Oryzias latipes: one gene and its partner. The protein of the gene in region 2 interacts with the protein of the main gene of each other region in a biochemical or structural test. Links are inferred from orthologs where the notes say so. Each region holds a gene or a part of one and is shown on either strand. Other genes may lie near its edges. The genes, in order: histone PARylation factor 1 and parp2.

Region 1 (4,520 bases), on a different chromosome or scaffold from region 2:
AAACTGAACAAAGGTGATCATCTCCTGGATAGGTCCAAAAGCTTTAATGCGATCTTCATCATTTCGAGCCTCTGCGATGGCTTTACAGATCTTCTTCAAACCAGCTAAGGAACATAAAAAATGAAAAGAGGAAATGCTTGTTATCTTCATCTACTCATTAAGAAGTTAGCCCCCAAACTAAATAAACAGATCAGAAATACTTAATACTTTTTAGAAAATATTTGAGCTCACCGTCTGTTTCAGGTAGTTCTCTGTAGCCTACATCATTCTTGTCTACAGGCACAACGATGCCGGCACCATGGAACGTCTTTGTGACCACCTAAGGTTTGGGATCAGAAGTCCAGATTGTATTAAACTGGTAAGACAATAATAACAATGGATTTGATTTATCTGCACTTTTCCAGATGCACAAAGCGCTTACAATGTGTCCAACATCATTCATTCACTCCTCATTCATACTTGGTGATGGTAACTACTGATGGAGCGGGGATCAAACCGCCGACCCCTCAATCAATGGACGACCTGCTGAGCCACTGCTGCCCAACGAGGTTATGCCGTAAAAGTGAATGCCATTATTAGGCATCTAAATAGTCTTGGAATGCAACAACTGATACATTATTGTTCTGGGATGTTTGCATTACCCTCTTGTCCCTCTGTTTCATTGCTTTGGTTTTCTGCTCTAAAGACAAGTTGAGGGACTCGGCTTTGTCCTTTAGTTTGGTCTCCAAGCTTTCCCACGCTCCAGTCTCTCCTTTCTTACTGCCTCTCTCCTTCCTCTTCCTCTGCAGGTACAGACTAGTAAACAAAACAATATAGAGATCAACAGAATGGAAGAAAGATGACTTAATTAAACCCCATTACCGGGGAAAAAAAGTGTAAATGTATACAAGCAAACACTTACTAGACCGCAGCAAACAAGTTATCTCCCATCTGCAATATAGTGCAGTCCTTCTTAGCTTCATTTTCCCCAACAAATGAAGGAAAGGAGTCTGGGGTATCTCTGTTAGAATAAAAAAATAAATGTAGAAGCATTCCAAAGTGCCTCTTTATTTCATACAGCTGTTATTAACCCTTGTGCTATCTTAGATGACCCCACCCTTACTTTGACCATGACAAAGGTGGATAAAGGTGGAAAGATTTCATGTAATCCATGGACACCAGTGAAGATCACAAATCATTGAAGAAAAAAGGTTCAGAGCACTGTCGAGTGGGTCTAGATGACCCAACTCCCAACGTTACAGTGCCTAGGATAGCACAGGGGTTAAAGAGCTTTGGGATGGTAGTAAAAGGAACTCCGTACCTGTAGTAGCCCATGTGATGCTGGCTGTCCTCACTCCCCTGAAGTACAGTCTGAAACTCTGGTGGGTCATAGAAATGCCTCCAGTGAAGGTGGAAGTTCAGCTGCGGGTTCTTGGAGGTTCTGTGGGCTCCAGCCAGAATTTCAAAAGGGCCGACCAGCTGCAGGTCCAATGCCTCTTTCAGTGCGCCTATACAGGTTTAAAGTGATAAAATCAGCTGAAAAATTATAGCATTTTATTCAAAATTAATCTTAACCCAAATTGTTAATCCTATAAAATGTTAAATTGAATTGATATTAAACTATAAAATACTATACAAGCTCATCAAATCTATTTATTGTTTTTCTTTTGAAACAGTTTTTTGCATTTATTTTTCACGCATTTACAAAAAAACAAAAACATCAAACATCTTTTGTGTTCATTGTTAATAAAAGAAATAATAAAATGTATCAATGAAAGTTTCACTTTTGTTCAGTTCAAATAATCAGTTTAGCTAAATTTGTTTTACAATATAAATAAAATAAAAAAAAGAGTCCATTTTTTTAAAAATCAAACAGATAACTTTAATTTTAAAATTTGAATCAATTGTGTGGCTTGGCAGTGACACCCTTTCTGAAGAAATGAACACACATTTTTCAGTTTCACAAAACAGAAGTCACAGAAGTAAAAACCAATGAAATTGCAGCAGAAAGGTATATGCTGTGACCAAAAGAAGTAAATAAATCAATAAAGCATACCACAAGGATTTTCAGGACTAAGCTCCTTGCAGAATTCCCAAAAATGAAAAAGATCTTCTGGCATTTGAAAGCTGTACAGTCGAAACAACTCCTCACGCTGTTCTGGAGTCACATCGGACAGCGGTACGTCTTTGGATCCATCAGTTCTCATCTTCTTCACGTCTCCATTACAGGCGCTCACATCCTAGAGACAAAAACAGATACTTTGTTGTTGTTGCTTCAATTAAATATTAGATTTTGTACATATGTGAACAGCAGAAATAAATAAAGCTGTTCAAAATATATATGATTGCCAAATTTCCCTCTTTTGGTGGATGAATGAATGGTAATTATCTCGACTCAATGTTTTGTGTTTATTTATGCGTTCAAAGCAAAGTTTAAAATAAAAAAGTATCTTTTTTTGATCCAAAAGTGACGTAAATAATAGCATATATATTTATTTATGTACAGTGTACTTTGTTGTCGTTCGGGCTGAAAACTTTAAGGAGGAAACTTACAGAGTTGCTAGCTAAAATAAATCTCAGCAGAACTGTTTGCTTCCAAAAATCCATCTGGCAGCAATTGATTAAAAAAAGACTTGAACTCATTTTCGTAAAGCAAAAACATTGCAGGTTCATGGGTTTTTAGCAAATGCAATAAACACAAGCCCAGCAGATCTGGGACTACTTAAATCCATATAAAAGCCCATTGTGAAGTGTGGGGGTCATTAAACAAGTAGCTCTGCTTTGCAGCAGCAGCAGCTGCTGCCATATTGTCGTCCAACCACCGCTGGACACCAAACACAGCAGCCTTTTGCGTCTTCATCAAATTCAGTATGCTCCAATTGCAGAACTTATTCCACAGAAACACGTTTTGAAATAAACATCGACGCTTAGATGTCTAGTCTGTGAAGACTGGAGATATTACCTGTGCCGATTTGGGTTTTCTTTTTGCGCGCCCTGTCATTTTCCTCCTCTTGTCTCCTTGTCGTCTTCTTCTACACTTTTAACAGAATAAATGGTGGGTTGTATTAGAGGGCACTATCGCCACCTAGAGGTTAAAAAAATAACTGCAGCTTCCATTCCTGCTCCATTTCCATTCCGTATCAAAACCGTTTTTGCTTGAATACAACGTTATACACAGAAAAGACGTGCGCGGAAAGGTCTGGCATATTTATCTTATTGTAATTAATATACTTTTATTAATTATATACATTTTTGACCCCACTCATTACAGTGGTAAAACCAAACCATTGAAATATGTTTCTCTGTTAAATGTGTGAAAACATTTTTATGTCGGACAATAGCTTTGTATACTTTTTCAATTATATTAGGTATAAAACAATAATTTCCTGACTTGTTTACTCAATTCTTAATCTTTACAAATTATTCTTAATTACTAACAAATTTTATTAAAAGTGGACACAGGCCGGGCAGTGTGCACACTGGAGTATTTTAAATTGAAACCTTCTGGGATTAGATATAAGGCCTTTTACAAAATATGTATAATTAATCAGACACAGTTTTGGATTTAAGGCAAACATCCAAACAACAAAGTCTTTATTGCATTACATCACAAGAAAAAACAGACAAAAAAACCTCGTGTCAGAATCAGAACTCTGTTTTCCCTCTAGTCACCAGCCGGAACCGTCCCCCAGAGTTCTGAATGCACTAGATCTCCCAGCATTTTGATTTCTAAAAGTATTTTTATAGAAACCAGAACAGGTAGGTACTGACGGACATCCCTGATTGGATGATGATATTTTTCCATCATTTTAACACCAATTTATTTGACCTAAGCCATACTGGAAATTATCGTCCAAACCACAATGTCCCATAATAATCCATGTTTTCCCCCTTTACATATTACCGTAAATTAGAAATGGAGCAAACAGTAAACATTTCAATTCATTTTTTTTTATTTAACCTCTGAAACAGAAGGGTCACCCAGAAGCAGTTTGTGTGAATGACGTACGTGCTGAAGGTAAATAATTAAAGGAAAGAATGAAAGGATAAAATCAAAAAAATGATTTGGTTTTCTATAGTAGTTAATAAATTGATAATAAAATGAAAGTTAATTTTTTTCCTTTATGATTTTAAGTTTAAATTTACAACATTTGATTCATAGTACCTATACCATTTATGATTTCTAATTGGGATTCATTGTGTTTTCTGAAATGTTTGTCATTTTTTAACATTTCATTTTTCCTCTGGAAATTAATTTGTTTTACAAAACGTTTTTTTTTTTGCTTTTTTAGCATTTCCTTTTGTTTTCTGTAAATGACATTTTTTTTCTGAAATGTTTTTTCATTATTGTTTTTTATGTTTTGTCTTCTGAAATTTTGTCTTATTCTTTAAAATGTAATGTTGTTTTTTTTTTAGATTTTTTTGCTTTTTTTAGTTGTCTCTGATCTTTAAAACGTTTTTGTCGAGTGATTTGTTGATGTGATTTGCACTTCAGGGTCACCGTAGAATATATTTCCTACATTTCCTATATTTATTACAGT
Region 2 (4,400 bases):
TTCAAAAGCTGCAGACGGTTGTTTTTTAGTGACACATGGCCACAACAACAACAAGCCTACCTTCACTGTTTCCTTCTTGGCTTTTTGCCTGACTCTTGCTTCGTCCTCTTCTTTTCTTCGTCACAGGTTGCTCCTCTGTCTCCTCCTCTTCCTCTTTAACCTGGACAGGTTGTGGTTCAGCTTCATTTAAACTGTCTTTATAAGAGAAAGACAAACATGGGTGTTGAGTATTTGTCCTGTGGGTGTTTCTATGATGTCAGTTATAACTTCAGGCTGATTAACCGACGTCACACTGGAGAGTTTCTAATGATTTTCAAAGGGAGGAAATGGATTTCTTTTCTGTAAAACAACAAAAACAAAGATTTCACACAGTTTTTTACCTCGAAAATAAAAGGAAAAGAAAGAGGAAAACATACTTTTCTGCCCCTTTAAAAAATTCTTAGAAGAAAGCAAAAAGAAGAGTGAATAAAAGAATTAAAGGAATTAAAGGTTTCCTGGAATGAAGCAACACGGTTCATTGATGGTATTTTTTAAACAGTTCTTTTCTAACACGTGTTTTTGAAGGTGATTTGGTTTCTTTAAGTGATTGTTTTATATCTTGACTCCTTGATTGATTGAAACACATCCTTCCTTTGTTTCTGCTTTAAATTTAGGCAAAGAGTAAATCTCACATCCTTTTAAGCCATAAGTCCTTTTTTTGTAAAATCTTTTTTTTGTATATTGTGTAGCAGACAATTCTGATATGCTTTATGCTGTAACTTTAAAATACTTTGATCAACTACGACTTGATATTTTTGGCTTACTGGATAATAGATTGGATGGATCTCTGCATATACTGTATGAGATTATTCTTATTGCTTTTCTTTTTTTTTTTTTGTAGGACTAAAGTTTAACTTAAGTACATAAGTTTAAATGCGTTTCCCCAAATTGCAATACACTAATTTAGATATGGATTGAGGAGTAAATGCAGTGCTTCATCATCCAGAGGTGACTTAACTTGATGAAACAAGTTAACAAGTTTTGTTTTGAGATTATTGACATGGCATTTTCACCCTCGTCATTGATGACATCCAGAAACCTCATTTCCATCTCTCCATCAATTTTAATACCATAAATTTTTCAAGTACCGGTACAATATTTAAGTTTGTGTCTGTTGTCATGAAGGATTTTTTTTTTTGCAGCTTAGTGATAATTTATTTACATCAAACCACTGTATTTTCTCCTCTGCTTGGACTGCTTTCTATATTATTACCTACATGAAATAGTGTTGTGTCATCAGCAAATAAATTACATCCGAATGGCTGATGTGCTGCTTCCAGCTCAGTTTGCTGTCAATAGGAATTTCTGTAACGATTGAGACATTGTTTATTTTTATTGACAGCTCTGCTTTAATATTATAATTAGCAAAAACATTACTTTTGTTTTGTCTAAATTCACAAATGTAATCCATCCATACGGGATGCCGTTTGTAAAGTGACAAAGTCAAATATTCACAGCAATTTTTTGGTTGTTTAGTTTGTTTTAGGAGGAAAAAAACAGACGTCCTTTTCCAAATGCATATTTTCACCTTTTAATTCACGTATTTATAAATGTTACATTTACTAACAAAATATTTAGTTTGCAAGCTAAATATTTCATTTAAGTTAAGTATTTTTTCTTTACAAACTAAATAGTTAATCTACCAAAGGACTAAAGGACTACCAAAATAAAAGCTGGATTTGCTCTGTCTCTGAACTGATTCTCGCCAGACTTGTAGTCCATCATGTCCTTGAGCTTGACTGATTCAAGACATGCAGGAGAAAATGCAGGAAGCGACAGAAAATAAAAAGTTACGAAAATAAGAAATTCCCACCAATCAGTTCAGAGAAACCTGTTTTTTTTCTCCTGAAACAGGCTAAATAACCAAAAATATTGCTGTCAATATTTGACTGTAGCTTTACAAACTACACCCCATTCATCCATGCTTTTATTTTACTTAGTTCTGGATTTCCCACATTACGGAGTTCCTTATGATTGTCTGTAAACTAACATGTATTTGTATCTTCAGCAAATAATATTGGTTTTAAAAGTTTTGAAACATTAAATATATAATTTATGTAAATATCGAATAGCAGAGGGCCCATAATTGATCCTTGTGGGACACCACAACTAATTTCCTTTGTCTCAGATGTAAATTAGTTGATTTTGACTATTTGCTAACTTTACTGAACTCGTTTCTTTAAGAGTCGTTTTGAATTCTGCCTAAAACTTAGTTTGTTTAAGACAGAAGAAAAAAGAAAGACAACTTTTGTTTCTGACTGAATCTCTCACATACAAAACCTTGGATGATGGAGGTGTGTTTTCTACCTTTAAAACATACCTGGTTTCACAGTCTGACTGCGAATTTTCCTTCGGTACTTTGTGACAGGATTGATCTGGACCATGTTCTTCAGATCCACCTCGTATGCGGTGCCGGAACCCGCGTTCAGAGTGACGGCCGGTGTTCCCGCAGACAGAGCCGAATCCAGCAGGGCACACGCCGCCGGCGGGTATGACTCCCACCGGCCTCCGTCCCCCTGCCACTGCCATTCTAGCATCAACACAGAATACCTGTTCACGCAGGTGCCGCTTGTTTCACACGCGCAGACATCCAAGTCTGACGCCTTTTTCTCACACACATAAGTCTCAATAAGGCACTGTATGGTTTTTGAACCGTAACAAAGCATTTTAAACAGCGTAAAACACGAAGACTAGAGTCTAGTCTAGACATGTTCAGTTTATCTGAACAACTAACTTGTTTCACATCAACACAAACCTGTTATTGACTCCATGTCTTCGTTTTTTGGCAAACTTTGGTTTTTATTCATTGAACCCCTAGTTCGCCTCATGTTGTAAACTAGATAGAAAACAGAAGAACAGAATGGAACAATGATGAGACTGTGGAGCAGGGCGGGAAACTTTTTTCGAGCGATGTTTCCTAGTCGGACATGTGTTAAGGATGTCCCGCGGCCAAAGATCGTTTAGGCATACAGAAGCTAACTCGTTTATCAAAATGAGAATTAAATAGTGACATCGTTCTAATCTAAACCATAACAACATAACAAAACACACGAAAAATCATTTTATATTATTAAAAATATATTTAGTATGCTATCTGTATTTTATTAAAACCTTTTAAATTTGTGGAAATTAAGTAAAAGCTATTAAAAGAAACATTCTGCTCTTTCCAGTTGCGTAGGACCACCAAAGATGACAAGAGTGAGCCCTCCTCTTTATCTCACGAAGGAACCAAAGATGACAGACAACAAGTTCCACTTCAGCTAAAACCGGAATTATTTTGCTGAAGGACTGCAAACTCCCAGCGTGGTTTTTGGGGGAGTACATTATAATCCGAATCTGGATTTTATTGTTTTTTGTTCAGACATGGCATGGCGAACATACGGAGCATTTGTTTTTGGTCAGAAAACACCAAGAATAAAGAAAATGTTGAGGGTTCGTAAATCGATTTATCATTACGCAGCTAATTGTGGAGGTCATACTATTTACTATGAGACATAGTATATGTATATAACGATACCTGATCTGTGTGCTTAGATGTTTGAAGCCTAACAGCTATATCTTTACCAATGTGCTTTTTTCCCAATACTTTTTTGATTTCTAAGCGTATTTGTACGCTTTAAAAAAATCCTGTTTGTGTAAATCAATCTCACAGCTTTCTCTTTGAGCTGGAATAAGAGGCTCCTGCAGTAACTTAGCTGTTGCTAGCACAGCGCTTTTCTGGACTGAGAGGTCTGAGGTCTTTCCAGGTATCTGTTGTAGCCACTCCTCCAGCTTGGGGGTTACTGCCCCGAGTGCTCCAATTACCACAGGCACCACTGTCACCTTCACTTTCCAGGCTTTCTCCAGTTCTTCTGAGTCCCTGGTATTTCTCCAGTTTCTCATGTTCCTTCTTCCTGATGTTTCCATCGCTTGGCACTGCCACATCCACCACAACGGCTTTCCTCTGTTCTTTATCCACCACTACAATGTCTGGTTGGTTCGCCATTGCCTCTGTGGTTTGGTGCTCAGGATTTCTCCCTGAGCTGCCAGGATGAGTGCTTCAGTGCTGTCCTGTAGGCCAGCCCTTTCTAGCCATTGGTAGGACTTCTTGATATCAGCCACTTCAGTTATGGTCCGGTGGTACATCCCATGCAGGAGTTTGTCCTCCCATGAGGATCTGTCCTCCAGCACTGTATCCTCTGCTCTCCATTGCCTGAGACATTCACTGAGAACAATGTCAGTTGTGGCCTTGAGCTTGATTTACTCATGGATCTTGGATGTTTCATCCTGGATAGTGGCTCACTAGTCCTATATATATATATATATCTTTGTATTTGTCAGTGAAAGAAACCGAATTGGAAATTGTATTAAAGTTCTGTCTT

The links.
Region 1: the proteins of parp2 (region 2) and histone PARylation factor 1 form a complex in vitro, tested with the Homo sapiens proteins (2 studies listed by BioGRID). The link is inferred for Oryzias latipes from reciprocal best matches to the Homo sapiens genes PARP2 and HPF1.

Annotation. Positions count from the first base shown.
Region 1 is NC_019859.2:12,486,353-12,490,872, reverse strand, and holds the start of histone PARylation factor 1, read right to left. Parts: upstream 3,047-4,520; 5' UTR 2,981-3,046; coding exon 2,942-2,980; intron 2,220-2,941; coding exon 2,036-2,219; intron 1,488-2,035; coding exon 1,301-1,487; intron 1,001-1,300; coding exon 902-1,000; intron 796-901; coding exon 642-795; intron 320-641; coding exon 232-319; intron 105-231; coding exon 1-104. UniProt on the Homo sapiens protein: Cofactor for serine ADP-ribosylation that confers serine specificity on PARP1 and PARP2 and plays a key role in DNA damage response.
Region 2 is NC_019875.2:3,351,079-3,355,478, reverse strand, and holds the start of parp2 (poly [ADP-ribose] polymerase 2), read right to left. Parts: upstream 2,979-4,400; 5' UTR 2,868-2,978; coding exon 2,795-2,867; intron 2,570-2,794; coding exon 2,360-2,569; intron 196-2,359; coding exon 61-195; intron 1-60. Other genes in the region: mettl17 (methyltransferase-like protein 17, mitochondrial), read left to right, coding at 3,403-3,471. UniProt on the Homo sapiens protein: Poly-ADP-ribosyltransferase that mediates poly-ADP-ribosylation of proteins and plays a key role in DNA repair.